Sus scrofa: one gene and its partners. The protein of the gene in region 1 purifies or fractionates together with the protein of each later gene. This does not show direct contact. Links are inferred from orthologs where the notes say so. Each region holds a gene or a part of one and is shown in the gene's direction. Other genes may lie near its edges.

Evidence for each region.
Region 2: the proteins of WDR5 (region 1) and RUVBL1 purify together in Homo sapiens (affinity purification with mass spectrometry; 3 studies listed by BioGRID and IntAct, with this or other methods). This does not show direct contact. The link is inferred for Sus scrofa from reciprocal best matches to the Homo sapiens genes WDR5 and RUVBL1.
Region 3: the proteins of WDR5 (region 1) and HDAC3 purify together in Homo sapiens (affinity purification with western blotting; 3 studies listed by BioGRID). This does not show direct contact. The link is inferred for Sus scrofa from reciprocal best matches to the Homo sapiens genes WDR5 and HDAC3.
Region 4: the proteins of WDR5 (region 1) and BOD1L1 purify together in Homo sapiens (affinity purification with mass spectrometry; 4 studies listed by BioGRID and IntAct, counting the BioPlex papers as one, with this or other methods). This does not show direct contact. The link is inferred for Sus scrofa from reciprocal best matches to the Homo sapiens genes WDR5 and BOD1L1.
Region 5: the proteins of WDR5 (region 1) and H2AFZ purify together in Homo sapiens (affinity purification with mass spectrometry; 3 studies listed by BioGRID and IntAct, with this or other methods). This does not show direct contact. The link is inferred for Sus scrofa from reciprocal best matches to the Homo sapiens genes WDR5 and H2AZ1.
Region 6: the proteins of WDR5 (region 1) and CCT4 purify together in Homo sapiens (affinity purification with mass spectrometry; 3 studies listed by BioGRID and IntAct, with this or other methods). This does not show direct contact. The link is inferred for Sus scrofa from reciprocal best matches to the Homo sapiens genes WDR5 and CCT4.
Region 7: the proteins of WDR5 (region 1) and PAGR1 purify together in Homo sapiens (affinity purification with mass spectrometry; 5 studies listed by BioGRID and IntAct, with this or other methods). This does not show direct contact. The link is inferred for Sus scrofa from reciprocal best matches to the Homo sapiens genes WDR5 and PAGR1.

What each region holds. Positions count from the first base shown.
Region 1 is NC_010443.5:273,563,279-273,566,778, forward strand, and holds part of WDR5 (WD repeat-containing protein 5), read left to right. Parts: intron 1-537; coding exon 538-646; intron 647-743; coding exon 744-817; intron 818-1,130; coding exon 1,131-1,220; intron 1,221-1,345; coding exon 1,346-1,435; intron 1,436-1,545; coding exon 1,546-1,629; intron 1,630-3,500.
Region 2 is NC_010455.5:72,199,008-72,203,180, forward strand, and holds the start of RUVBL1 (ruvB-like 1), read left to right. Parts: upstream 1-1,373; 5' UTR 1,374-1,559; coding exon 1,560-1,700; intron 1,701-4,173. UniProt on the Homo sapiens protein: Possesses single-stranded DNA-stimulated ATPase and ATP-dependent DNA helicase (3' to 5') activity; hexamerization is thought to be critical for ATP hydrolysis and adjacent subunits in the ring-like structure contribute to the ATPase activity.
Region 3 is NC_010444.4:143,277,422-143,280,921, reverse strand, and holds part of HDAC3 (histone deacetylase 3), read left to right. Parts: intron 1-205; coding exon 206-279; intron 280-432; coding exon 433-497; intron 498-828; coding exon 829-954; intron 955-1,933; coding exon 1,934-2,023; intron 2,024-2,146; coding exon 2,147-2,205; intron 2,206-2,452; coding exon 2,453-2,532; intron 2,533-2,842; coding exon 2,843-3,000; intron 3,001-3,500. UniProt on the Homo sapiens protein: Histone deacetylase that catalyzes the deacetylation of lysine residues on the N-terminal part of the core histones (H2A, H2B, H3 and H4), and some other non-histone substrates.
Region 4 is NC_010450.4:9,240,923-9,244,422, reverse strand, and holds part of BOD1L1 (biorientation of chromosomes in cell division protein 1-like 1), read left to right. Parts: intron 1-2,163; coding exon 2,164-2,354; intron 2,355-2,824; coding exon 2,825-3,439; intron 3,440-3,500. UniProt on the Homo sapiens protein: Component of the fork protection machinery required to protect stalled/damaged replication forks from uncontrolled DNA2-dependent resection.
Region 5 is NC_010450.4:120,562,433-120,566,523, forward strand, and holds H2AFZ (histone H2A.Z), read left to right. Parts: upstream 1-1,319; 5' UTR 1,320-1,504; coding exon 1,505-1,507; intron 1,508-1,950; coding exon 1,951-2,028; intron 2,029-2,310; coding exon 2,311-2,424; intron 2,425-2,762; coding exon 2,763-2,892; intron 2,893-3,169; coding exon 3,170-3,231; 3' UTR 3,232-3,591; downstream 3,592-4,091. UniProt on the Homo sapiens protein: Variant histone H2A which replaces conventional H2A in a subset of nucleosomes. Nucleosomes wrap and compact DNA into chromatin, limiting DNA accessibility to the cellular machineries which require DNA as a template.
Region 6 is NC_010445.4:79,930,838-79,934,337, forward strand, and holds part of CCT4 (T-complex protein 1 subunit delta), read left to right. Parts: intron 1-1,494; coding exon 1,495-1,603; intron 1,604-2,184; coding exon 2,185-2,327; intron 2,328-2,846; coding exon 2,847-2,968; intron 2,969-3,328; coding exon 3,329-3,461; intron 3,462-3,500. UniProt on the Homo sapiens protein: Component of the chaperonin-containing T-complex (TRiC), a molecular chaperone complex that assists the folding of actin, tubulin and other proteins upon ATP hydrolysis.
Region 7 is NC_010445.4:18,051,230-18,055,478, forward strand, and holds the start of PAGR1 (PAXIP1-associated glutamate-rich protein 1), read left to right. Parts: upstream 1-1,449; 5' UTR 1,450-1,925; coding exon 1,926-2,407; intron 2,408-2,569; coding exon 2,570-2,652; intron 2,653-4,249. UniProt on the Homo sapiens protein: Its association with the histone methyltransferase MLL2/MLL3 complex is suggesting a role in epigenetic transcriptional activation. However, in association with PAXIP1/PTIP is proposed to function at least in part independently of the MLL2/MLL3 complex.

The sequences.
Region 1 (3,500 bases):
AGCCCATAAGTCTTTTCTCCCTCCTAAAACATCACCCGTTTCACTCAAAACCACATTCCCAGCCAGTGCGTACTTTGTGGCACGTCCAGGATCCCCAACCTGCCCCCTGGGGAGGGGGCTTGATCCACAATATAGATCCTTGGTCTCGCTGTAAGAGTCTGTGGGGCCCAGAAATTGTCCCTTGGTGAACAGCCCCCCCCCCGGCTGCAGGGCAGAGCCCCCCTGCAGACCCCAGGGGGCAAGTCCTCAGGGGCGGGTGGGGGACCGCTGCCTGGAGGGGCTGCAGGATTTGAGCCCGGGTGGCGGGGCGTCTGCGGCAGGGGCTGCAGGACAGGCAGGGTCTGCCAGGGGAGAACGCGTTCAGATGTAGGCGTGTTTGAAAGGGGACACGGGGACAGGTGGGAGTTCTAGGGGCACCGTCAAACGATAGGGCGAGCTGGCAAAGAGGCCCTGGGACCCCGGTCGCACCCCGCCCGTCGCCGGCGGGGTTGGGCAGCGCTGGCTGCTGTTGGCTGACTGCTCCGCTCCCTTTCACAGCCCACACCTGTTAAACCCAACTACGCGCTGAAGTTCACCCTGGCCGGCCACACGAAAGCTGTGTCCTCGGTGAAGTTCAGCCCGAACGGGGAGTGGCTGGCGAGTTCGTGTAGGTGTCCGGTCTGGAGGCGGCGGGGAGCCCGGGCAGCCGAGGGCTGGCTTCCCAGGGCCGGAGGCCGCCACTGCTGTGTCTCCCTTTCTTTCAGCTGCAGATAAACTCATTAAGATTTGGGGAGCTTACGACGGAAAATTTGAGAAAACCATATCTGGTCACAAGCTGGTAGGTGTCAGCCTTGTACCCTGCGGTCACTCTTGGGCGGAGTGGGGGCCCTTCTGCGGGCTTGTCCGGTTAAGAGCTCAGCCCCCCCCCACCCCCGATTTTGGCCTCCTGTTTATTTTTTTTTTGCCTCTTGTTTCTTCGGCCTGCCCGCCGGCGAGGCCTGGCGGCGCCACGGAGGGCAGGCTCTAGGCCCAGGCCGGGGGCCAGCGGGAGCCGAGGGGCTCCAGGCGGGGCCACCTGCCGGGGGTCTTTAGTTGCGTGTCCGGCATGTAGCTCTTGCTGGCTCAGCCCCGTTGTGTGTTTCCGCCCCCAGGGAATATCAGACGTGGCCTGGTCGTCAGACTCTAACCTTCTCGTTTCTGCCTCAGATGACAAGACCCTAAAGATATGGGACGTGAGCTCGGTGAGCGGCGGGGTCTCCCTCCGTTCCAGCTGCGGGGGTGGCGGGGGTGCTGCCGGCTTCAGCCTGAGGCCGGTGTCGGGCAGGTAACGCCGGGAAGGACTTAGGCCGACGGCACTCGCTTTCAGGGGAAGTGTCTGAAGACCCTCAAGGGACACAGTAATTACGTCTTCTGCTGTAACTTCAACCCCCAGTCCAACCTCATCGTCTCGGGCTCCGTAAGTGGCCGGCTCTGCGGGGCGGCTGGCGGGGCCGGGGGCGCGGGCCTCCCAGGGGTCTGGTCTCTGCCCTCCCGGGGCCCCGCTGTCACCTCTTCCTTCGTCTTCAGTTCGACGAGAGCGTGAGGATTTGGGACGTGAAGACAGGGAAGTGCCTCAAGACGCTGCCCGCGCACTCGGATCCCGTCTCAGCCGTGAGTCCCCAACGGCGGCGCCGGGCGAGCGTCCGAGCTGGGCCCGGGCCCGGGGGTGGGGGGTGCCGCGGAGCCTCACAGCACGGGCCGGGCGGCCGGCCTGGAGAGGGGCCTCCCGAGGGAGCTGTGGCCGTGGCGGTGCCGCTGTTGAGCGGAGGGTCCCGGGGCCTGCCGCTCCCGGACCGCTCAGTGCAGGTGCAGGGGTTGACCTGCACACCTGTCTGAATTGCTCGGTTGCAAAACAGCTGAGGTAGGGTGTACCTTGGTGGCCCGGCAGTAAAGGACCTGGTGTGGTCGCTGCTGTGGTGCATGTTCGATGCCTGGCCTGGGAACGTCTGTGTGCCACCCAACTACTTTGTGGGCGCAGCCAAAAAAAAAAAAAAAGCCAAAGTATTTCTTTGTGAGCAGAGAGCCTGAAGTGGTTTTTTAGCCAAGTTTACGTTGGAGAGGTGGAAGGAGTCACGTGTAAACAGCTTGTTTGATGTCACCGAGCAGTTGGTCCTTTGGAGGTCCTGACATTGTGCAGGCGAGCAGTTTTACGTGTTCAGCCCTGGAAGGCCTTTGTCCAGCCGAGACCGTCCGCAGAGCCCCGAGCCTTCAGGGCACAGACACTGGCTGTTTGAAGTCGCTGGCCCGGTGCTGGCCCTCAGGCCCAGCCCTCGCCGTCGGTGTCACAGCCAGTGCCTGGGGCTCCTAGGGAGGCGGTTGCTGTGGAGAGGGAGCCCTGGGTGATGGGCTCTGGGGCCCCCTGCTCCTCTCTCCTCCACGGTGGGGTGCAGCCCTCCAAACAGGCCGCGCAAACGATGACACAGGAAGTAACCGGGAAGTAGTTGGAGCGACGGCTGGTGGTTGAAAGTTGTCTGTGTTATGGTTTGTGGTCAGGAATGGGACGTTTGCTTAAATGGTGGTAGGATTTTTAAAGTCTTGTTTCTTTTTCTTTTTTTTTTTTTTGCTATTTCTTTGGGCCGCTCCCGCGGCATAGGGAGGTTCCCAGGCTAGGGGTGGAATCGGAGCTGTAGCCACTGGCCTACGCCAGAGCCACAGCAACACGGGATCCGAGCCGCGTCTGCAACCTACACCACAGCTCACGGCAACGCCGGATCGTTAACCCACTGAGCAAGGGCAGGGACCGAACCCGCAACCTCATGGTTCCTAGTCGGATTCGTTAACCACTGCGCCACGACGGGAACTCCCTTAAAGTCTTGTTTCTTAGGAAAGTTATGTGTGCTGACTTGGAAAAAAAAGGCAAGCAATGTAGCAGGTAGCAGTTCAGAGTCTCCCGACTCCCCCCCCTCAGAGGCACCTGCCAGCAGCTGGCCTCTGCCCTCTGGGGTGGTTTGGTGTTTTACAAAAACATGTTTCCCAGCGCCCTTGCCCATGCCAGACAGCCGTGGTCCAGCACCGCTCATCTCCAGCCTGTCCACCTCTTGCCCGCAGGCTCCCGGCTGGGTGGTGGGTGCTGTGTGTAACCCTCGTGTTGTGGAAAGGAGTGCAGTGTGTGTCCTTGTCATGCAGCCGCCTCCCTGTCTGCAGGCAGGTGTCGGGGCAGTGCCGCGGCTCCTACGGTCAGCCTTTGATGGACGGGCCTGGATTAGAACCCTCTGGGTCAGTGGCTTGTCTGCTGGCCTCTGCCTGCTTTAGTCCAGCTGCTGTCCTCTTGCCTGGACACCCCCTCTGCCCCCCATGTCAGTAGTCAGCTGAAGCCTCCTGCCGTCTGTCTCACCTGCTCATCTGTCTGCTGGTGTCGCCCCCGAGAGTCGGCCGATCGTCTGAGCCAAGAGCCAAGATTCTGTCCCCATGTGGGCGACTCTGTCTCGCCACCCCCCTGACTTCCGTGGCGCCTTTTCGGGGTTGCCGTTGGAACATTCAGC
Region 2 (4,173 bases), on another chromosome or scaffold:
ATATATAAGAATAAACAAAAAGAAAAAAAAATGTAACAGCTCTGGCAGAAGGGGAGTTGGGGGCCAAAAGTTTCTATTTACTGACAGAAACCATAACCACATCCCATAAAATCTAATATGTAAAATACGTGCAGCAAAACTGCATGACTGTGTGTGTATGTGGAGGTCTAGAACTGTACTGAATTTATAAGGAGACTTAATTGTGAGCCAGACCATGTGCCTGACACTGGGGTTAAAATGATGTGCAACGCAGATGTGGTCTACATTTTCGTAATGCCTGCAGTTTAGAGGGAGAGACTAATATTGACCCGATAATTTGCAAATAATTAGGAAACTAGATTCAAATGTTACCATGGAGAAGTTCAAGGAGATTTGAGAATCCAGAACTACTGCAGCTGGATTTGGCTTCAGGTCTGTCTCAAGCCTAATGCAAGCTTCTCTGAGCTCTGGGCAAGTTCCTTCCTTTCTCTGGACCTGAGTTCACTCATTTGTAAAATGGTGACATACCATCTACTCCTGAGGGTGTTACCCTTCTCTCAGGGTTAGGTCTGGACATTATCATCTCATGGTGCCTTCCTTGGCTCTCCACCTGTTCCACGTGGCCCTGCTTGGGCTTGCATTCCTCATGTTGTAAGTTTCCCACCTAAGATCTGAGCTTGTCAAGGCTGGAGATTTTGTTTTGATATCTGCATCCCAGTGCATTCTCTTGTCTGGCTCACAGCAGGTGCTAACAAATGTTTGTTGAATGACTGTGTGGCCAATGGAGCACATCCAAAGGGCGAGTGTCAATATCATCATGGAACCAGACATGACAGGCTGCTAGATGATTGTCTCATCTGAGGTCATGGGCTGGGATGAGGGTTACACAGGCTGCAAAGCCTTAAGTCCTCAGCTGGAGTTCCAGCTCTGCTGATTATGTGCTGTGTGTTCTTGGGCAAGTTACTGGGCCTAATTTAGCCACATCTTTATCTGTATTAGGAGTTACAGTATCTTACAGGGTAGTAGAGTTTTGGGGACATAAAACGCCACTCACAGCCAACTTAATTTAAGTAAAGAGAGGTGGCGAGGAGAAGCAGAGGACAGTTGCACAGAGGATGCTCAGCACTGCTTCCCCAGGGGAGGAAAGGCTTGGAGGTCAGCAAACTGCCTAGTGAACACAAGCTTAAGATCTAAACCTGTTTTTTCATCTCCAACACCGAGGTGGAACTTGGGCTCTGCATAAGGGTATGTGTTTGGCTGCCATCACCAATGGCAGTACGGTAAAGGGCAGGATTCGGCCCGGGTTTTGTGCAGCACCCCTCTCTTCCCACCCAGGGAGGAAGCGCTCTCCGCGGGGACACAAACCCTGGGACACAGCCGGAAGTGGGTGGGCGGAGCCTCCCCGGCAGCTGCGAAGGGCACGGCCAAGAGCCAGTGGGAGGTGAAGGCGTTCCCGCCGCGGCCAATGGAGCGCCGACCGAGGCGGACCTGGGCCAACCGCCTGGTAACGGCCGCGTGGTTACTGGGCACCCGGTGTGAGCTCTCAAGGCTCCGCGGGTGTTCGCGCTCAGGTGTGCAGGATGAAGATCGAGGAGGTGAAGAGCACGACCAAGACGCAGCGCATTGCCTCCCACAGCCACGTGAAGGGGCTAGGGCTAGACGAGAATGGTCTGGCCAAGCAGGCGGCCTCGGGGCTCGTGGGCCAGGAGAACGCGCGTGAGGTGTGGCAGTGGGCTGGGGGCGGGGGCGCTGAGGCGGGGGCTGAAGGGCTGAGTTGGGCGCTGAGGTGGACACTGAGGCGGGGCCGAGGGGCTGAGGCGGGCCCGGAGGGCGGGCCGAGGCGGGGGCGTCCCCAGGCAGGACGGTCCTGGCGGCCTTGTCTCTGGCCGGCGAGTCTTGAGCGACCCTGCCCTGCGCGGTCGGCGCGGCCAGGGGATGAGCGGGGAGGAGACGGGCCAGGTCCCTGTACTCCGGGGGCTTGCATTTCGGATGACAAACGTTGACGCCGGGGAGCAGAAGGACCGTTAGACGTAGGTGGGCTCCGAGGGCCCTGGCACGGGTCGGGATTTGTGCGGTCAGAGGGAAGCTCTGGGGGCTTCAGAGTCGGGAAGGGATCGGGCTGAGAGCGCGGGAGTTCCAGGGCCCGCGATCCGCTCTCCCGCCCCGCCAGCCTCCTTTCTGACCATTCCGTTAAGTCCGCTGTTAGTAAATGATGAAGGTGCCGAGTCGGCTCTCCTGCGTTATACTCACGAAACTGTTCAGCGTGGGAGCGGGCACGTCACCAATCCACTTGCCGCCCAGTTTAGCGATGGTAACGCTGGAGTTTATACCCGTGTGTTCTGACTCCTGAGCCCGCGCCCCCTGAGCTGGTACAGCCCCCAATAAGTAGTCTCTGCTCTCACGGCAGCCCCATGCCCTTGGCCTCTGCCGTGGCTTAGCAGCTATAAAATTGGAGTTTAAGACTGGTTCCTTCTGGCCTCATTGTGCTAATAGCAAAGGCCAAAGAGAAGCCTCTGGTTACTTTTTTGAACATCCTCTGCCAAGAGAGGATATAGCAATAGGGTCAAGGTGACTGAAAATTCTCTTTATCCAGCTTCTGCTCACTGAAGACCTGTCACTGTAAATAACTGACATTGTCCAGTGCTTTCTACCTGCCAAGCACTGTACTTAGCAGCTCCTTTTCCATTGTCTAATTGTCACCTCCATTCTAATAAGTGTCTCTCCTCCATTTTATTATGACTTTTCAGACATACAAAGAAGTTGAAAGATTCGTTTAGTGCATACCTGTGTGCCTAAGTTCTACAAGTAACATTTTACTCTGTTGCTTTATCTTATATCTGCTCCTTTATCCATCTAGCAATCTGCTTTTGCATTTCAAAATAAATTGTAGACATTAGTATACTTTACCATAAACCTGTTGGCATTTGTGCCACTATATTGTGAACTCTTTTCAGATGTGGAAGTTGTTTCACAGAGTTTACGTTATAGATTTGAGGTCATTCAACTGGTAATTGGTAGAGCCAGGATTTTTTTTTTTTTTTTTTTTTTTTTTTTTGGTCTTTTTGCCACTTCTAGGGCTGCTTCTGGAGGTTCCCAGGCTAGGGGTCTAATCGGAGCTGTAGCCGCTGGCCTACACCAGAGCCACAGCAATGCAGGATCCGAGCCACGTCTGCAACCTATACCACAGCTCACTGCAATGTCAGATACTTAACCCACTGAGCAAGGGCAGGGATCGAACCCGCAACCTTATGGTTCCTAGTTGGATTCGTTAACCACTGAGCCACGATGGGAACTCCCAGAGCCAGGATTTAAACTCAAGTCCATCTGATTCCAGAATCCATGGTCTTAACGCTGATGCTCTGTGCTTCCATGTGAGTATGATCTTCCCAAAGGTAGAGATTGGGTAGTATTATATATCCAGAACCTGACTTATTATAGGGACTGAGTGTTTATTTATTGAATTATTAGTTGTCCCATCTCTGCTACCAGGTCCTTGTTAGAGTCTGGTCACCTCAGAAACCTCTCTAGTGTTTAATGAAAAAAATTAGGTCGTCTTTTAAAGACCCTTCTGGTTTATACCTTCTATTATTATTATTATTTTTTTTTTTGTCTTTTTTTGTTATTTCTTGGGCTGCTCCCGCAGCATATGGAGGTTCCCAGGCTAGGGGTCGAATCGGAGCTGTAGCCACCGGCCTACTCCAGAGCCACAGCAACTCAGGATCCGAGCCTCGTCTGCAAACTACACCACAGCTCACGGCAACGCCGGATCTGTAACCCACTGAGCAAGGGCAGGGATCGAACCCGCAACCTCATGGTTCCTAGTTGGATTCGTTAACCACTGCGCCACGACGGGAACTCCTGGTTTATACTTTTAAAATTTTAGAATTCATTGGACATATCACTGGAGAGAAGGAGCCTAAACTGAGGATAGTTAAATGGAAGAGGTTCTAGTGTGTGAATAAGAGTACACAGATAAGGTTTGGAAAGTCTCTTCTACGTCTTTTGAATTGCTCAGAGAATTCCAATACTGAGGAGTATGATATTAGAGATTACTATGGAAAGGTCATGGTGGCTCTTTCATCTTTTCTTTCTTTCTTTTTGTGGGTTTTTTCTTTTTTCTTTTTGTCTTTTTAGGGCCACACTGACTGACAGCATATGGAAGTTCCCAGGCTAGGGGTTGAATTGGAGCTGCAG
Region 3 (3,500 bases), on another chromosome or scaffold:
GGGTGCAGCGTAATGTGTGTATGTGCATTTTTCTGGGAAAAGGGTCATTAGCTGCCCTCAGTTGCTCCAGAAGTTCATCGGAGCCTCCCAGAAGTGGAGAAGCCGAGGTTCCTGGGCTACACGCTCTCTGAAGCCCCTTTTCCTCTTGTTCCCTGTCTCCCCATCCCCTTGGGGTGCCAGGCGCCCATCTTTGGCCCTCTCCCAGGTTACAAGCACCTCTTCCAGCCAGTCATCAACCAGGTGGTGGACTTCTACCAACCCACGTGCATTGTGCTCCAGGTAATTCTATCGGTGCTGCCCCCTGGCCTTGAGGACAGAGAGCAGGCAGGCGGGAGTCCCCAGGCTGCTGGGGGATGGGCGGTGAGGGCCTCTGTGACATTCTGAGCCGGCATCTCACTGCAGCCCCCTGCGGTTTGCTTTTGCTTTTCGCAGTGCGGAGCCGACTCCCTGGGCTGTGATCGATTGGGCTGCTTCAACCTCAGCATTCGAGGTCACGGGTGAGACCTGCCCTCCTTCCCCTCCCCCCAGGTCTTCAAATGGCTCTGGGCCTCAACACATGGAATGGGGGTAGTTGGGGCATAGGCTTCACCGCCTCTTGGGACTCAAAATATATCTACACATTGTGCTTTGAACTAGAAAGATGACCTTGAGCAGTGTTCCCCCGCTGGCCATTCAGCCACGGTAGCTCTCTCTTAAGTACCTGTTGCGCTCCAGGCCTTGCACCAGGAGATGGGGATGCAGGGGGGAAACTCCCGTGGAGTTCACGGTTGAGCGTAGGAAGCTGGCAACAAACACGTAAGCAGACAGAACAGCTAGATCATTGTACAGTCCCGAAGGAAGAAGGAAGCGAAGACCCGGGATAACCGTGGAGAACCTACTTTGTTTAGATAATGCGGTTTGGAAAGAGTTTTCTGAGGAGTGGACATCTGAGCTGAGACCTGGACGCCCAAAGGGGTGAGCAGAGAGGGCTCTGTCCTGAGCAGTGAGACGAGCCCACGCAGAGGTCTGAGCCAGGGAAGGGCCGGTGCAGCGGAGGAGGCGAGGGAAGACCAGCAGGCAGGCACAGGGCGCGCACGCTGGAGGCGGTCTGACCTGAGGTCCGACAGGCCGGCCTCAGTGGGGTTGTGCAGAGCGTTTAGACCCTGGGAGGGGTCTGGATTATATTTCAGACATGATGAGAAACTGTCGAAAGGTTTTAAGCAGAGAAGTGGTACGGTCCAGCGTGTGCTTTTTTTTATTTATTATTTTTTATTTTTTTTAACATTGCAATAGGGATTTCTTCTTTTATATATTCTGTATACATTTGTAACAAGATTTGAAGACATAAAGGATTCAGTACTTTTCAGAACTTTTCCTCCAGATTTTAAGTATTGTCAAAGATCATTTGACTCAATCTTAGTTATTATTTCAAAACAAGAGAACCAACCCGCCTCCAACCTTTTTGGTCAGTCAGCTCGTGTTTTAAAGCGACTGCTCTGACTGCTGCATGGAGAAAGGTTTGGGGTGGGCGCACAGGAGTGGGCGTGGGAAGGCCACTTAGGAAGCTGGCGGTGTGGTCTAGGCAGGAGGCTGAGCTGGAGGACGTGGCAGTGGAGAGAAGTAGATGATTTGAGATGTATTTCGGTGGCGGAACTGCCAGCACGGGCTGGCGCGTTGGTGAGAACAGTCGACTACCACATGGGGTGCCTGGGTGGGTGTTGAGCCGGGCAGAGGTGGGAGGGTGCGCTCTTTGAACATTTGTATTGAGACACAACCTCTGTGTAAAGTGTATAATCAAGCGCACATGTCTCGGGGGTAGAGTTCCGTGGTTTTCAGTCCCTAGCTCAGGATACAGCGTTTCTAGTGTCCTGTGCCCTTTGCAGTCAGTGTCTAGAAGCAAACCCGTGGGCTTTTGGGAACTCCCCCCACCCATCCCTCTGGTTCCTTTGAACAGCGAGTGCGTCGAATACGTCAAGAGCTTCAACATCCCTCTGCTGGTGCTCGGGGGCGGCGGCTACACGGTCCGGAACGTCGCCCGCTGCTGGTGAGCACGGCCCCGATTTTCCTCCTCCCCCTTGTCCAGTGTGAGCAGGGGGCTTCCCGAGGGATGGGCAGGTGGGGCCCTCAGCCCCCTGGCTCAGCCGGCCCTGCCCTGGTGGTGTTTCAGGACGTATGAGACATCACTGCTGGTGGAAGAGGCCATAAGCGAGGAGCTCCCCTATAGTGGTAAGGACACCCCATGATGCCCCCGCACCAGGAAGGCCATTCTTGCAAGACCCCAGAATGGCCTGGTCTGAAAGCAGGTGGGAAATTGGACTTTCTCAGAGCTCTGCAGACTAAACACGAGCCCAGAGCAGAGCTCGGGTAGCTATTTCGTAAGGGTTTTGGATACGAAGGAAAGAGACTGGGAAGTCTCGGGAACCTGTCTCTGTCTGAGCCCTAATGTCTCCTCCTGATCCCCTTTCCCCCCAAGAATACTTTGAGTACTTTGCCCCGGACTTCACGCTCCATCCAGACGTCAGCACCCGCATTGAGAATCAGAACTCACGCCAGGTCAGCAGCTTGGAGAAGCCGAGCAGCCCGGGTGGTGGGGGGCGCCAGGAGTCATCCCGGGGGTGGGAAGTCAGAAAATCCAGAGCGGAGAGGAAGGTTCTCGGCCATCCTTCCGCTGTTAGCAGCTGGGCAGCAGCTTGGGTTAAAGTGAAGGCAGAGTTGGGAGGAGGGGCAGTTACCAGCCGGGGACGCGAACTCAGACGCGACATGGGATTGAAACTCTGGACATGACGGGCGAAAGGCAGCTAGAAGCGTGGATGTCCTGCGGTCCCCGGGAGCTGCTCACTGACTCTTCCTCATCCCCAACCAGTATCTGGACCAGATCCGCCAGACAATCTTTGAAAACCTGAAGATGCTGAACCACGCACCCAGCGTCCAGATTCACGACGTGCCCGCAGACCTCCTGACCTACGACAGGACTGACGAGGCCGACGCCGAGGAGAGGGGCCCCGAGGAGAATTACAGCAGGTCTGAGGGCAGGGACCCGACAGCAAGCTTTCCGGGAAGGTTAAAAGGGAAAAAGTCAGTCAGAGGGTCAACTGTCCCTGGCTTATTACCTCCTGTGGTGTGTGGCAATCCCACACTTTTTTTTTTTTTGCTGTTTTTAACAACGTAACACATGTTTATTGGAAAAATTTTAAACAGCACCAAAACATGTTCAGTTTGCTTTCACACAATCCCAGACTCACTTCACAAAGAAACCAATGTTAATAGTTCAGTTTGCATCTTTTTTTTTTTTTTTTTTTTTTTTTTTGCCACATTTGCATCATGTGGAAGTTCCCAGGACAGGGATCGAACCCGCACCATGGCAGTGACCCAGGCCTCGCAGTGACAACACTGGATTCTTAACCCACTGCACCACAATATTCCTTTTCTCTTTTCTTTTTTTTTTGCATTTTAGGGCCACACTTGTGGCACATGGAGGTTCCCAGGCTAGGGGTTGAATCGGAGCTGTAGTTGCAGCCTGT
Region 4 (3,500 bases), on another chromosome or scaffold:
AAGTCTGTTGTCTATGTCTGTGAGTCTGTTTCTGTTTTGTACATAGGTTCATTTGTGCCATATTTTAGTCCTCACGTATGTGATATCGTACGGTACTTGTTTTTGTCTTTCTGACTTTCTGCACTTAGTATGATAGTCTCTAGTTGCAAGCCTCTGTTTTTTGAGGGTTTTTTTTTTTTTTTCCTTTCTTTTTTGGCCACCCCACAGCACATGGAGCTAACCAGCCAGGGATCAGATACGAGCCGCAATTGCAACCTACACTGCAGCTATGTCAGCACTAGGTCCTTTAACCCACTGTGCTGGGCCAGGGATCGGACCTGTGTCCTGGCGTTGCAGAAATGCCACTGATCCCGTTGCACCACAGCCTTCACTTTTAAGATCAGAGCTGACCACTGTTAAGAGTGGACTGAAGTACACAAGGGCCCAGAACATACGCATCAAGAAAAGAGACCGAAGCAGTGTTTCGGAGGTGGATGTTTATTTTTTTATTTTGTGCCTTTGTGCTTAATTAAGCCTTAATTCAGAACATTTTTCAGATTGCTTGTCCTTGCTTCTTTTCCACCCGCTACTTTTTAAAGGTACCTCTAAGATGTAGCAATGCTTACAGGATTTGCTTTTTTTTTTTAATCTTAGAACTTTAGAAAGGAGGTTACCTACTTTGTGCAGTGTTGACTCATTTTTCTCTATGGCCCACATAACCTACAGTATCCCAGGGCTGCAGTATGCTTCAGGAAACAAAAACCACACCCATCCTCCACTCCAGACAGAGCTGCTCTCAGAAATAGCATTGTGAGGTGTAAGGAGAGACACCTCCCTCATTCTCCAGGGAGCCGGAGGCCTTGAAGCTGAAAAGGACCAGCACCCAACCCTCCCAGCACTGCCCAGGGATCTGTGGCTCCTCAAGTTCTTTGCTAGAAAGAAACAGGGTTAAAGTGCATTTCTTAAATTCATGTCCTCTTATTTTGTTCAGACGCCTTTGTGATTTCTTGTGCGTTTTATACTTGGTCATCTGCCTCTTAAATATATTTCCTTGGGCACTTTCTTCTCCTTCTTTTCTCTGGAAATCAAGATGCAAGTTAAATGTCTTCTTTGTGAAGCATTCCAAATTACTTCAGACATAGCTTTTAATTCCTCATTCTACTCTTTTCCAACAGTGTATGGTGTGTCCTAGTTCCTGTTGTCTTGCATTTTAATTGTGTCTTTCCCACCAGAACAGGGACCAGGTCTGTTTTGTAGCAGCTGAGGCTAGAATGGTGCCTGCTGTATAGAAGGCACTCATAACATAATTGCTGAGGAATAAGTCATTTATTTTTATAGCAAGCAGGTAATAAAAAGAACACCAGAAGTCATAAGTTTTATTTTTGTTCCTCTAAAGTTTTCTTTTTTTTTTTTTTTCTTTTTTTGGAAGCTTTATATTCTGTTTTCCTGGAGACCCTAATACTCATAAAAGGCTTACATTTTTCTGCTTAAAGAAAGTGGGGAGGGGGAAGTCCATAGATTTGTTTTATACTCAGAACTCAGCTTTAGTGACTTTAATCCCATCTACCATGGGCAGAATTGAAGTAAGGTAAGCATCATGTATAAGCCTGGCCTTTAGATAGTGTGCTATGTCTAATTCTAAGGCTGTTTTGTTTCTGTTTTGTCTGCTTTAGTATTTCCACTAGTGACATGGTGGTGAGAAGTTTACATGTTTTTTTGGCACTGTGGTATATTAAATGCCACTGTAGTATGACTTTTTTTTTTTTTTTTTTTTTTTTTGTCTTTTTAGGGTCACACCTATGGCATACAGAGGTTTCCAGGCTAGGGATCAAACTGGAGCTGTAGCCGCTGGCCTACTCCACAGCCATAGCAGTGCCAGATCCGAGCCGCATCTGTGACCTACACCACACAGCTCACAGCAACGCCAGATCCTTAACTCTCTGAGTAAGGCCAGGGATCAAACCTGCATCCTCATTCAGGATACTAGTCTGGTTTTACTGAGCCACAACAGGAACTCCTGAAACTTACTTTCCATTGGGTGTTCTTTGTGGATTTCCAAATGAATGGATTGGAGGCAACTTAATGTTGAACATCCGTGTAATAGATTCAGCTTTACTTAAAAGTAATAATACAAGTAGTATAGAATAATTTTTTTACCTTTCTGTAAATTATCCTGTGTTTCAGATCAGGAATGTTGGAGTCTGGTATTGACCGAATTATTTCTCAGGTTGTGGATCCAAAGATCAACCACACCTTCAGACCTCAGGTGGAGAAAGCAGTGCATGAGTTTCTGGCCACGCTAAATCACAAAGAGGAAACAGGTGGCAGCACAGCACCTGATGATGAGAAACCAGACTCTTCCGTCATTACACAAGGTGCTTTGCTTTTGCTCTTGGTCAGTTCCATTGCTTTTCTTCTTGAACTGAGTATCAAGTTAGGGGTGTTTAGTTCTTTAAATCATCTACTTGGTCACTCTAGTGAAATCGTATTTACTTTAATTATCACCCAAATTCCTGAGCAGACATAATATTTCTTTTTTTTAAATAATAGGCATTTTAGCAATGTAGTAGGGGTACATGTGTGTGTGTTTCAGTAGAAGGGATAATTAAAATAATTAGAGAAAACACTCTTTTTCTGGGAATTATTCTCACATTTGCATGGTGCCTTTCCTAAGATACTGTATTAGAGAAGTAGAGAATGGAGAATGTGTTAGGTTCCAATACCAGCACCTGAAAGTCTAAAGGCATATGTGTCGTATAAGGATGCCAGTGGTGAGTGGCCTTGATTCAGCAGAGGGGTTTACCTTCAGCATAAATTTATTTTAGACTGTGTCTTTCCCTTGAAGGTGTCCCTGCCCCTGGGCCCAGTGCAAACGTGGCCAGTGACGCCATGTCAATCTTGGAGACCATCACCTCTCTTAACCAAGAAGCTAGCGCTGCCAGGGCTTCAACAGAAACGTCAAATGCCAAGGCCTGTGAGAGAACATCCAAAAAACTCCCATCTCAGCCAAGCACTGACACTGGTGCCGAGAAGGAGAGAACTTCAGAGGATGCGACTGAAAAAGAAAAACCTACACCTGACTCTGCAGGGGAAGGACAGGAGACAGCCCTGAAGTCAGAAGAACTTAATGATCTCCCAGGTCCAGTTGAAGAAAGTAAAAATCACACTAAAGAGAGCAATAGTTCAGTTCTGCTAAATAAAGATGTTCAGCAAGAAAGCAGTGACCCAAAAAATAAATCAACAGACAAAGGTGAAAAGAAAGCAGACAGCAGTGAAAAGGGAGAAAGAAAGAAAGAAAAGAAGGAGAAGACTGAGAAGAAATTGGATCACTCAAAAAGGAGTGAAGATGTACAAAAAGTGAAAGATGAAAGACAAACAAAAGATAAAGATGCAGAATGTTCAAAACTTCCTTCAGAAAAAAACAATAGTAAAGCTAAAACTGGTGAAGGGACAAGAGAAGGTAAAAACTTAGAAAAATCTGCAGGAGTTTGAAGAACACTGAGTGTCCACTGGGGGTACAT
Region 5 (4,091 bases), on another chromosome or scaffold:
GGGTTCTTTAGCGCCAAGCCACAACAGGAACTCCCAATTTTTTAATTTTAAAATTAACAGCAAATTTCCAAAAAAACTTGATAAAACTTTCAGATTGAAACCCAAACTACAGTACTAAAGAGTATATATTTCAAATTTTCTTAATGTCAGAAATACTGAATTATGTTTATAACGTAATTACTGTTAAAACTCCAAGTATGAAAGATTTGGATCACTACTGTCTCCAAGCAGCTGGACGTGTACAGAGGTGCTATTAATCTATTAGTTGGAAAATTAAGTAGCTGGCATTATGATAGTACTGTGTGTACAGTACTATTTTTTTAAGCCCATCATTTGCATTTGATTACATGGACCATCTGTAACTGCCTGTGAATCATATGAGGACATTTACCGAACATTTGTCAAGTAGCAAAATGTTTAGCATAGAAGAGTTGACACATAATAGCCTTCATGTTTCACTAAATCAACTTTAGAAGCCAGGCTATAGGTACAACCCACAGACGTGTAGTCTTTAGAAAAATATGATTTGATTAAAGAATACCGCCTCAGCCCAAGCCTTCAGTGGGTAGACCAAAAGGTCTTTTATGACCAGCGAGGTGACTTTGCTTCACCGTCTTTTCCATGAAACTGTTCTGTTGGGGTTGGGGAGGTAGGGGGTTCAAAAAGTCCTGAGAAAAGAAGAGGAAGGAGATACAGCTGAAAAAGTGGGAGCAGAGGGTCGTGATGAATCGGTGGCTGGGCACTTGCCTAGGAGGAACAAACGCGAAATCACTACCCAGACTATGGTTAGCGAAGGAGTCGGGGCGCCTTTCACTGGACGCCTTCGCGCCACCTGTCAGACCGGAGGTGTCAACGGGAATGCAGGGGGGTCGGTGAAGGTACCCCGTGCTCCGGAAGAAGGCTGCGGACAGGCGGGTCTCTGCCCGCCAGGTGTTCTAACGGGGCGGAGGCGGAGGGAGGGCAGGGCAGGAAGGAGGGAGTGCTAGTCCCCGCTTTCCGAGGTCTCTGGAACCGAGCAAGGAGGCAAAGGTGGAATAGGGGGCAGCTACTGCGTGCCCCTCCCCTGAGCCTCTCAGCTCCTCCCTCCAGGCACGTGACTAAGCCGGCGGGTGCCCTGCTCAAGCAGCGTAGCTCGCTCTGTTTCTTCCCTCCCGCCGCTGTGCCCTTCTTCTCCCGGGTTCCCATCCCTCCGTTCTCCCCCACCTCCTTCTCATGCCCCAATAACAGCTCGAGCTGCAAAGCGCCCGCCCCTCCGCCCTTTTCTTCGCTTGCTCATTGGCTGAGACTTCAAGGACGCGGCCCGAGGGCGGGTGGCAGCCATTGGTGGGATGAGCAATCCGAGTTCCCGGATGAGGGAACATTCTGCAGTATAAAGGGAGCGGGGAAGGCGGGAGACAGCGCAGTTTGAATCGCGGTGCGACGGAGGAGTAGGCGGCGGGATCTCGCTTGGTGACTGACTAGTCCTTTCTCTGCCTTGCTTGTTTGAGCTTCAGCAGAATTCGAAATGGTAAACTTCGCGGAGGCGCTCGAAGACTACGCGGGTTTTTGCCGGCAGGAGAAAAACCCGTTACACACGGAGATGGGGGTGAAGCGGTGACGGTTGGGAACGCGCGGAGAGAGGATGTGGAAGAGCGGGGGGAGGTGTTTTGTCGGCGGCGAGCGGAGCAGCCTCCGATCTCGCGGCGGGCGGCGACGGTTGGGTGGCGCGCGCAGCGCCGCTGGGAGCCGGAGGGCGGTGAGCGGGCGGCCTGAAGCGCGCGGCCGCGGCGGGCGCGCAGCGGGGGGCAGGCGGGCGGGGTCGCCCTTGCGGCGCGCGGCGGGCCGGAGACCCCGGCTGGGCACCGGGCCCCGCTCGCGCCCGGGCCGCCCCGCGGTGGGGGAGGGGCGCGCCGCCTTGGTAATCCTGTATTCTGCGTTCCTTCTTCGCTCGCGGGCGTGTGCGCGCCGCAGGCTGGCGGTAAGGCTGGGAAGGACTCCGGAAAGGCCAAGACAAAGGCGGTTTCCCGCTCGCAGAGAGCCGGTTTGCAGGTCAGTGGGGGTTTCTGCTGTCTGGGAATCGCGGCGTTTTTCTCTCCTTTTTCTCTGTTTATCATTGCACTAGATGAGCTTTTGGTCTTTGCGTGGTGATGGTGTCGGGACTTGGTTTACCGATACAATAAATATTGGGGAAGGGGGGGCGATCACGTGTGGCGATGCTAGGGCGCGTTGCTGCATCAGCCTCCGTGCCCCTTGCTTTGGCGCGCGTATAATTTGACCATTTTTGGCTCCTCTATCTTTGTGCATTTGTGTTTGTGTATGCGAAAAATGAAGTTTCCGGTGGGCCGTATTCATCGACACCTGAAATCTAGGACGACCAGCCATGGACGTGTGGGCGCGACTGCCGCTGTGTACAGCGCAGCCATCCTGGAGTACCTCACCGCAGAGGTAAATGGGTGTACGCCTGTAATCTGGAAAAGGTGGTGGGGGGAGGCGGTGAGAGGGAAGGAGGAAAGTGATGCAAGAAAACTCCCAGGCTCTGAACGCGGTGAGAAGCTTCTGACAACGCTAGAGGGGGCTGGTGTTCATTTTGGGTTCCTCCTGAGCTTGAGTTGACTGCTTTAGGAAATAAAATTGCGTGTCCCCTTTATAGCTTTTGCATATCTTGCCATTCAGGTAGTGGGGGGAGACGGCAGTTGGTAGATACACGTTCACGAAGGTTTGATTCTTCTGGATCTTGATCCTAAGGAAAGTTGGCAGGAGATTGATTAGATTCTGTCTTCTAGGTACTTGAATTGGCAGGAAATGCATCAAAAGACTTGAAGGTAAAGCGTATTACTCCTCGTCACTTGCAACTTGCTATTCGTGGAGATGAAGAATTGGATTCTCTCATCAAGGCTACAATCGCTGGTGGTGGTATGTAAATACTAAAAATTTTTTAATTTCTTTAGATAATTCTTTACTTTTTTCCCCCACTAGAAGAGGACACTTAGTGTTATTTTCAGTGATCTGTAGTATGGTTGCATCATGAAAATTGATTCCTGTATATAACTTAGTGAATTTTTACTTCTGCATACTCTGGCCTCACATTTAAAGACTTCTTCGAAGTTGAACGTTAAACTGTCATGGTTTTGAAGTCCTGTGTTAATTTTCAAAATAATGTATATTTAAAAGTATCCCTTTCCTCCCCTAGGTGTCATTCCACACATCCACAAATCTCTCATTGGGAAGAAAGGACAACAGAAGACTGTCTAAAGGATGCCTGGATTCCTTATTATCTCAGGACTCTAAATACTCTAACAGCTGTCCAGTGTTGGTGATTCCAATGGACTGTATCTCTGTGAAAAACACAATTTTGCCTTTTTGTAATTCTATTTGAGCAAGTTGGAAGTTTAATTAGCTTTCCAACCAACCAAATTTCTGCATTCGAGTCTTAACCATATTTAAGTGTTACTGTGGCTTCAAAGAAGCTATTGATTCTGAAGTAGTGGGTTTTGATTGAGTTGACTGTTTTTAAAAAACTGTTTGGATTTTAATTGTGATGCAGAAGTTATAGTAACAAACATTTGGTTTTGTACAGACATTATTTCCACTTCGGTGGATAAGCTCAATAAAGGTCATATCCCAAACTAGTTGTGTATTAAATTCACTTGATTATGATGGGAACAACTTTTGTTTTGAATAACTATCTTATCCAGCAATAACTTAATAAGCACGTTTCTTACCTTGAAATTAAAATGTTAATTTTGTAGATCAACAAACCTCGAAGGCTAAAGCATATATATATTTTTTAATGCTATGAGATGAACTATTAAAGATTTTAAAACTTCAGTAGGAGCTTGGAACTGGACAAGGTGATGTTTTTTAGGTTAAATTTGATCATCTCAATTTGTCGCTGCACTTGCTGTTTGTGACAGCAGCACTACATCCAGAGCACTGTCATGGACTGGGGCAGGTAGGGAAGTTCTGTATATTGCTACCTCCACAGAAGGTACTTTCAGTATAAACAGTGAAGTGTTTCCTGTGTTCTCCCACTGTTTCAAAGGCTACCTGGATTAAACTGTTCAGTATGCACCATCTAATCCCGTTTTTACAGAAAAGAATCAAGGTTGGAG
Region 6 (3,500 bases), on another chromosome or scaffold:
TGCTTTTTAGGGCCGCACAGTGTCATATGGAAGTTCCCAGGCTAGGAGTTGAATCTGAGCTATAGCTGCCAGCCTACACCACAGCAAAGCAGGATCCTAGCTGCGTCTGTGACCTACATAGCTCACGACAATGCCAGACCCTTAACCCACTGAGCGAGGCCAGGGATGGAACCTGCATCCTCATGGCTACTATTTGGTTTCATTACTGCTGAGCCATGACACGAAATCCTAAAAACAGGTTTTAATTCAACTGTGGATCATAATGATGATTCCAATGTCAAGTGAGAAGTCACTGTAGCAGCAAAAACAAATATTCTTTAGAAATTCCTCTTAAGGAGTTTCCATTGTGGCTCATTGGTAATAAACCCAACTAGTGTCCTAGTGAACTGTGGTATAGGTCACAGACACAACTTCCATTCAACCCCTAGCCTGGGAACTACTTTTTTTTTTTTCAAGATAAATTTATTTTATTTAACCCACTGAGCGAGTCCAGGGATCGAACACGCAACCTCATGGTTCCTACTCGGATTCGTTAACCACTGAGCCACGACAGGAACTCTAGAACTTCTGTATGCTCCGGGTGTGGCCCTAAAAAGACATGAAAAGAAAAAAAAATAAATTTATGTTAAAGTCCCTTTTGGAGTTTCCCACATGGCTCAGCAGAAATGACTAAGTCATTGAGGATATGGATTCAAACCCTGGCAGTCAGGGATCTGGTGTTGCTGTGAGCTTTGGTGTAGGTCACAGACCTGTTGCTGTAGTTGTAGCTTAGTTTTAGCCCCTAGCTTGGGAATTTCCATTTGCTGTGGATGAGGCCCTAAAAAGCAAAAAAAAAAAAATCTTAATTTGCATAATGCAGGGTCAGTTTAGATAAGCTTGGGGAAGGATTCCAAACTGACAGTCTCCTCTGAATGTTACATTTCATAACTTCTGAGTCTGCAAGTTATCCATTGTCCTTTTGAGTAGCTAGCTCAAGGAAAAAATTTACAAACTATAGTCTGGAATGGAAATCATAATAGAGCTACTTAGAGAAAAAATATATAAGAATTATGTGTGTCACAAATATATAGGTCAGTTTTATTGTCGTTTTTTTGTCTCTTTAGGGCCGCACCCTTGGCATTGGAAGTTCCCAGTCTAGGGGCTTAGGTATGGCCTAAGTCACAGCCACAGTGACTCCAGATCCTAGCTGAGTCTGTGCCCTATACCATAGCTCACAACACTGGATCCTTAACCCACTGAATGAGACTAGGGATCAAACCTGAACCTTCTAGTCAGATTCATTTCTGCTGAGTCATGATGGGAACTCTAGTAGGTCAGTTTTAAATGAAACCAAGGTGGACAGCAAATCAAAAGTCAAGTATATTGAATCTTACAGTGTTGATAATAAAGTTTTATATGTGAAACTGATGTGAAGGTCATTGAAGTTATATTTGAATTAGGTTTTACTGAGTTTTCATATTTCTGATTGAGCAACCTGATGTTCTGTTCACTTAGCTGGTGGAGCTGTCGAAGGCTCAGGATATAGAAGCAGGAGATGGCACCACTTCGGTGGTCATCATTGCTGGCTCTCTTTTAGATTCCTGTACGAAGCTTCTTCAGAAAGGTAGGTAAGAAGACTTGGAACATGCTTTATATTACTGAATAAAGGCAAGAAGTTGCTAAGTAATATCTGATTTAAAATTTAATTTGGAACAGCTAATTTTTAATCAGAAATTTTTAGATTAAATTTCACCGTATTATGTGAGTTAGAAAATGTTTTCTTTTTCTAGGTCTCCTTTTGAATGGAATTTGATAAAATTTAGGGTATAGATGAGAACTGTGATTTGGGATATAATATGGGTTCTTGATTTGGTAAATAATTTTTAGACGTAGTAGTGACTCTCTGGTCAATTATTCTACTTATGTAGATTTGTAGAGTTTTGAAAAGTATGAAATTGGTTTTAGTCTCAAATATCACATGAGTATGTAACTAATCTATACCAAATTAAATGGAAGTAAATTATTAGGACTATTTGTGATTAAGGTTATAAAAGCCATTATGTTTATAACTGAAGCCTAAATTATAGTTTTAAATAATTGAGAATTTTACTGCTTTGAAATGTTAATGAATAGAGAAATTTTAAGTCATGTCAAATATGAAATTTGTCTGTTACAATTAAATAAGTGGTCCTTCATAAATGGCAGGGATTCATCCAACCATCATTTCTGAGTCATTCCAGAAGGCTCTGGAAAAGGGTATTGAAATCTTGACTGACATGTCTCGACCTGTGGAACTTAGTGACAGAGATACCTTGTTGAATAGTGCCACCACGTCGTTGAACTCAAAGGTGAGACCAGCACTGAAAGATCATAGTAAAATTATAATTTAAGGTTCATTAAGAATTACATACAAATCTTATGCTGTGGTTATTGATGCTGGACAGTTTATAAATGTTATTTCTCAAGAGTGACCATGTTACTAAACTAATTTTCTATAGGATTATGAGTAATCTGGTTAGTCCTGAGTACTGAGTACCATATTAATAAGAGAGAAATGCAAGTTTTCTTTGTTCTTTTTTTTTCTGGCCATGGCATGCAGGAATTCCCCAGCCAGAGATCTGACATGAGCCACAGCAGTGACAACACCGAATTCTTAACCATTCCCCGCCCCCAGGGAATTGAGAGCATATATTTTTAATTTTGTATCCTGGTTTCAGCAAACCTGAATAGAAAAGACAGTTTATATAGAATGTTTTCTCTTATGCTCTCCCAAAAGTGATTGAGATTACTTCTCGAATATTTTTATCATTATAAAGTAATAGGGCTTTTTCTGTTGTGACACTGATTCTGTTTTTTAATAATTCTAGGTTGTGTCTCAGTATTCAAGTCTCCTTTCTCCAATGAGTGTAAATGCAGTGATGAAAGTGATTGACCCAGCCACAGCTACTAGTGTAGATCTTAGAGATATTAAAATAGTTAAGAAACTTGGGTAAGTATCTCTCATTACAGCTTTAATTAATAGAAATCGATTTCGAAAGTAATATTGGTTGTTGGCAAAAATAAGTTAAATGGAAACCACCTAGAAAGTCACAAAAGTTTGGTTTTTGTTTGCATAGCAATTTGTATTAATGTGGGAATCTCAAGAATTTATTTACATTCCTAATGATGGCAGGGCAGTGTGGTTCAGGAATGGGCACTAGAAATGTGAATGAGGCTAAAGCACATTTTAATCACTGATAATTAAATTACTGATGATTTTTAAGGTGTTCTACTAAACTTGCAGATTTCCTCCCTCTTAATTATCTCATTTCCTTCTTCTTTTTTTTTTTTTTTTTTTTTTTTCTTTAAGTGGGACAATCGATGACTGTGAGTTGGTAGAAGGTCTGGTTCTTACTCAGAAAGTGGCAAATTCTGGCATAACCAGAGTTGAAAAGGCTAAGATTGGGCTTATTCAGTTCTGCTTATCTGCTCCTAAAACAGATGTAAGTAAAACTAAATGAAATGGTTGCTTGTGTGTTTGG
Region 7 (4,249 bases), on another chromosome or scaffold:
TGCATTCCAAGACTTTTTTTTCCTGTTGGGAGCTGCCTTGGGCCCATCCTCCCCTTTGGGGGGGAGCCCAATCCATGGCCCAGGCCCGCACCCATAGGGACCAATGGAGCCTGAGCAGCCTTGTTTACAGCTTCTTTCCTGCTCCTGCATCCTGCCAGGCTCCTCTGCCAACCGTAGGCCTCCCTGTTCCCTGCTCTGTGTCCAACCTCCCTGCACTTTTGCCTGCCTCCCCTTCAGCCTCTTGGCTTCCCTACCCCTGCACTTCTGGAAACCTCCCTGCACTTCTGGAAACCTCCTTGCACTTCTGGAAACCTCCCTGACCATCTCCCAGACTCTCTTTGCTCTCAGCCTTCCTGCATCTCTTGCGGCCTTCCTGCACTACACCCTCCCGAGTCCCCTGCACCTCATCCCGGATCTCCATTTCCCAACTTTTTATTGTCTCAGCATCCCCCCCTCCCCCCCCTCCTCTCTTCCTTCCCTTCCTCATTCATCTCCTCTTCCCTCTCCACACCCTCCACCCCCTTCCTCTTCCTGCCTCCTCATCTCCCCTCTGCATCCTCTCCTCCACCCTCCTCCACCGTTTATTCTGCAAAAACTCCAGCACTTAGATCAGGCTGGGGGAGGGGAGCGGTGTCTGGAGAGGGCTCCCTAGCCCGGGCTCGCGACTGTTCTCTGCAGGGACTACCCAGGCCCAGACACCCCCGGGGTGCCTCGGGGTCGCAGAGCTGGCAAGCCGGGCCTCGTTTGTAGATTTGTGCAGGGGTGGCGGGTACTGTTCCGAACAAGCACCTGGTAGAAGGGAGGGGCGAGGCTCTCGAACCCTCCCCGGTCGGCCCGAGCTGACCTGCCCCGCCTGGGCTTTTTAACCCAGTCGGTTTGTTAAAGGCGTCGCGGCTGGAGTCATTCACGTGCTTTGTAACTGTAAGAACAGAAAAAATTGGACCAAAGCTCCCAGCTGCAGGGAGCAAAGAAGGGGCGGAGAGAGCTGCGATTATTTTCTAAGAGGACGAGAGAGGTTTGTTGCACGCGACAGTTCACTGGGGAGGCAGGGTCTGAGCCACAACGCGGTTCGGAGTTGGTTTGGTTTTGGTTTTTTTGTGTTTTTTTTAATATAAAAAAAAGCGTAGGGAAAAAACCTAAAAGTCTTTAAAAAAAAAAAAAAAAAGGATACATCAAACTGATTCTCCCTTTTTGTATGCCGGATGCTGCATGAGTCTGAAACACCAATAAACGGAGACTGCATGATACTCGCCTCCAGCCTCAGTTGGTCCTTACGTGCCTGCGCCGCGGGGCCGGAGGTACAGCCTCCTTTGGGGCACAACCTACTAGGTGATTTGCGCATGCGCCACCCCCGTGGCCATCTTTACTGTGGGCCGAAGCCTATCGTTCCCGAGCGCCTACCTGCGCATGTGCAAGCCTCCCCTTGCTTTCCTCTCCCAAGTAGCTTTGACTAAAGCGGAGCCTCCCGCGCCGTATCTGTGCGCCTGCGTACTTTGACCCTGCGCGGCCCGGGAGGCGGGTCTTAGCTCCAGGTGCGTACGGCCGCTGAGGTGGGGGACCTTCGAGGTGTGGGGAGAGGACGCCGCATCCAGGTGTAGAGCGGCGTAGTGCGGAGGCGAGAAGAGCGGGTCCGCCCGTCTCCGGCCCGGAAAGTGGTTTCTGCCGCTCGCTGGAAACCTCGGAGTACCGGATCTCGATCTGTGGGGGGCGGGGTCCTTGGAGGGGACTGAGCGCCCCCTCCTGGGAACCGGTGGTCTGGTCGCGAGACCGCTGTTGGAGCCTGATTGGTTAGCGAAACAGTCCCCGAACCCCGGGGTGATCCCTTTTTTTGGGAGGGAGTGGAGGGAGGGAGGGGGCGCGGGGGGAATCCCCGGCTTGGTACTCCTGCATCTCCTGGCATCGCTGGGCCCCTTCCCTAGTGGCTTATGTCCCTTGTCCGGGGTCATGGAGACACGGCAGCCACCGCGGCGGCGCCTCTGTCTGAAGAAGGGGAAGTGACCTCCGGCCTCCAGGCTCTGGCCGTGGAGGACACCGGAGGCCCCTCTGCTTCGGCCGATAAAGCCGAGGAAGAGGGGGAAGGAGGCCGGGAGGAGGCCGAACATGAGGGGTCCAGGGCCGAGGAAGTGCAGGGAGAAGCCCCCAGCACTGAGGGGGAAGAGCCCGCCCAGGGAGACTCCGAGGACTGGTGCGTGCCCTGCAGCGATGAAGAGGTGGAGCTGCCTGAGGATGGGCAGCCCTGGATGCCACCTCCCTCCGAAATCCAACGGCTCTATGAACTGCTGGCTGCCCACGGTACCCTGGAGCTTCAGGCAGAGATCCTGCCCCGCCGACCACCTACGCCTGAGGCCCAGAGTGAAGAGGAAAGATCTGATGAGGAACCCGAGGCCAAAGAGGAGGAAGAGGAAAAGTGAGGATTGCTTCCTTGATGCCAGGAGGAAATAGGGAGGGAGGTGGGACCCAGGAGCATGGGAAGTTAGAGGGAGGGGAAGAGCCCGAAGGCCCGGGAGAAGCACCAGTGGAGGTTTGGAAGGATCTCCCTCACCCTCCTCTCTCTCTCCACCTGTCCCAGGCCGCACATGCCCACAGAATTTGATTTTGATGATGAGCCAATGACACCAAAGGACTCCCTGATTGACCGGAGGCGCACCCCAGGTACAGACAAGAGTGGAGAATGGGGGGCGCGGGGGGGCCTCTGTTCCCACTTACTCCGAAAGGGACTCCCTGAAAGAGGTCTTTGAGGCGTTCTCTGATGGCTTAGTGGCAAAGGACCCAGCATTGTCACTGCTTTGGCACAGGTTCGAACCTTGGCCTGGGAACTTCCACATTCCATGGGTGTGGTCAAAAAAAAAAAAAAAAAAAAGGTCTCTGCTTGGTTCCTTGGTAGCTACACAAATCACAGCTTCAGGGGAGAGCGTGCACTCAGTGGTTGCCATCCTTCCAGTCTAGGTGGTACCCAATTTTCTTTTAAAAGATTATCACAGGTAATTCTATCATATTTCCCATTCCTTTGGTCTCATTTCCCCCCCACCCCCATCCCAGAAGTCCGAGTCTTCTTGGTCATTATCTAGCTCCACATCCCTATGCTACTGCGTACACCTCCTAATCTGACCTAGCTTCCCATGCCTAGAGTTTACCGTCAGAGCCATTCTCTCTCTCTCTCTTGTGTGTGTGTGTGTTTAGGGCTGCATCTGCGGCATATGGAGGTTCCCAGGCTAGGGGTCAAATCAGAGCTATAGCTGCTGGCCTACACCACAGCCACAGCAACATGAGATCTAAGCCACATCTGGGACCTACACCACGGCTCATGGCAACACCGGATCCTTAGCCCACTGAGTGGGGCCAGGGATCGAACCCGAATCCTCATGGATACTAGTCAGGTTCGTTAACCTCTGAGCCAAGACGGGAACTCCTCTCAGAGCCATTCTTGATTTCTCTTTCTTTCTTTTTTTTTTTTTTTTTTTGTCTTTTGTCTTTTTTTGTTGTTGTTGTTGTTGTTATTGTTGTTATTTCTTGGGCCGCTCCCGCGGCATATGGAGGGTCCCAGGCTAGGGGTCTAATGGGAGCTGTAGCCGCCAGCCTATGCCAGAGCCACAGCAACGCGGGATCCGAGCCGCGCCTGCAACCTACACCACAGCTCACGGCAACGCCGGATCGTTAACCCGCTGAGCAAGGGCAGGGATTGAACCCGCAACCTCATGGTTCCTAGTCGGATTTGTTAACCACTGCGCCACGACGGGAACTCCCGATTTCTCTTTCTTTTATGTCAACATTCAAACCAGCAGCAAGTCTTGTTAGGTCTGCCTCCACATTTCCAAATTCAGCTACTAGTCTCTGTCTTTAATGTGACACCCTGATCCAAGCCGTCTCTCTTTCAAAACATAAGTCAGCTCAAATCTGTTTTAAATTTTTTTAAATTATTATTATTTTATTTTTAGGGCCTCAAGTGTGGCAAATGGAGGTTTCCAGGCTAGCGGTCCAATTGGAGCTGCAGCCCCTGGCCTACACCACAGCAACACGTGATCCGGCCACATCTGCGACCTACACCACAGCTCACGGCAACACTGGATCCTTAACCCACTGAGCAAGGCCAGGGATCGAACCTGCAACCTCATGGTTCCTAGTAGGATTTGTTGCTGCTGTGCCACGACAGGAACTCCCAATTCTGTTTTAAATTCTCCGAAGGAGGAGTTCCTGCTTGGTGCAGTGGATTAAGAATCTGATTGCAGTGACTTGGTTCACTGGAGAGGGA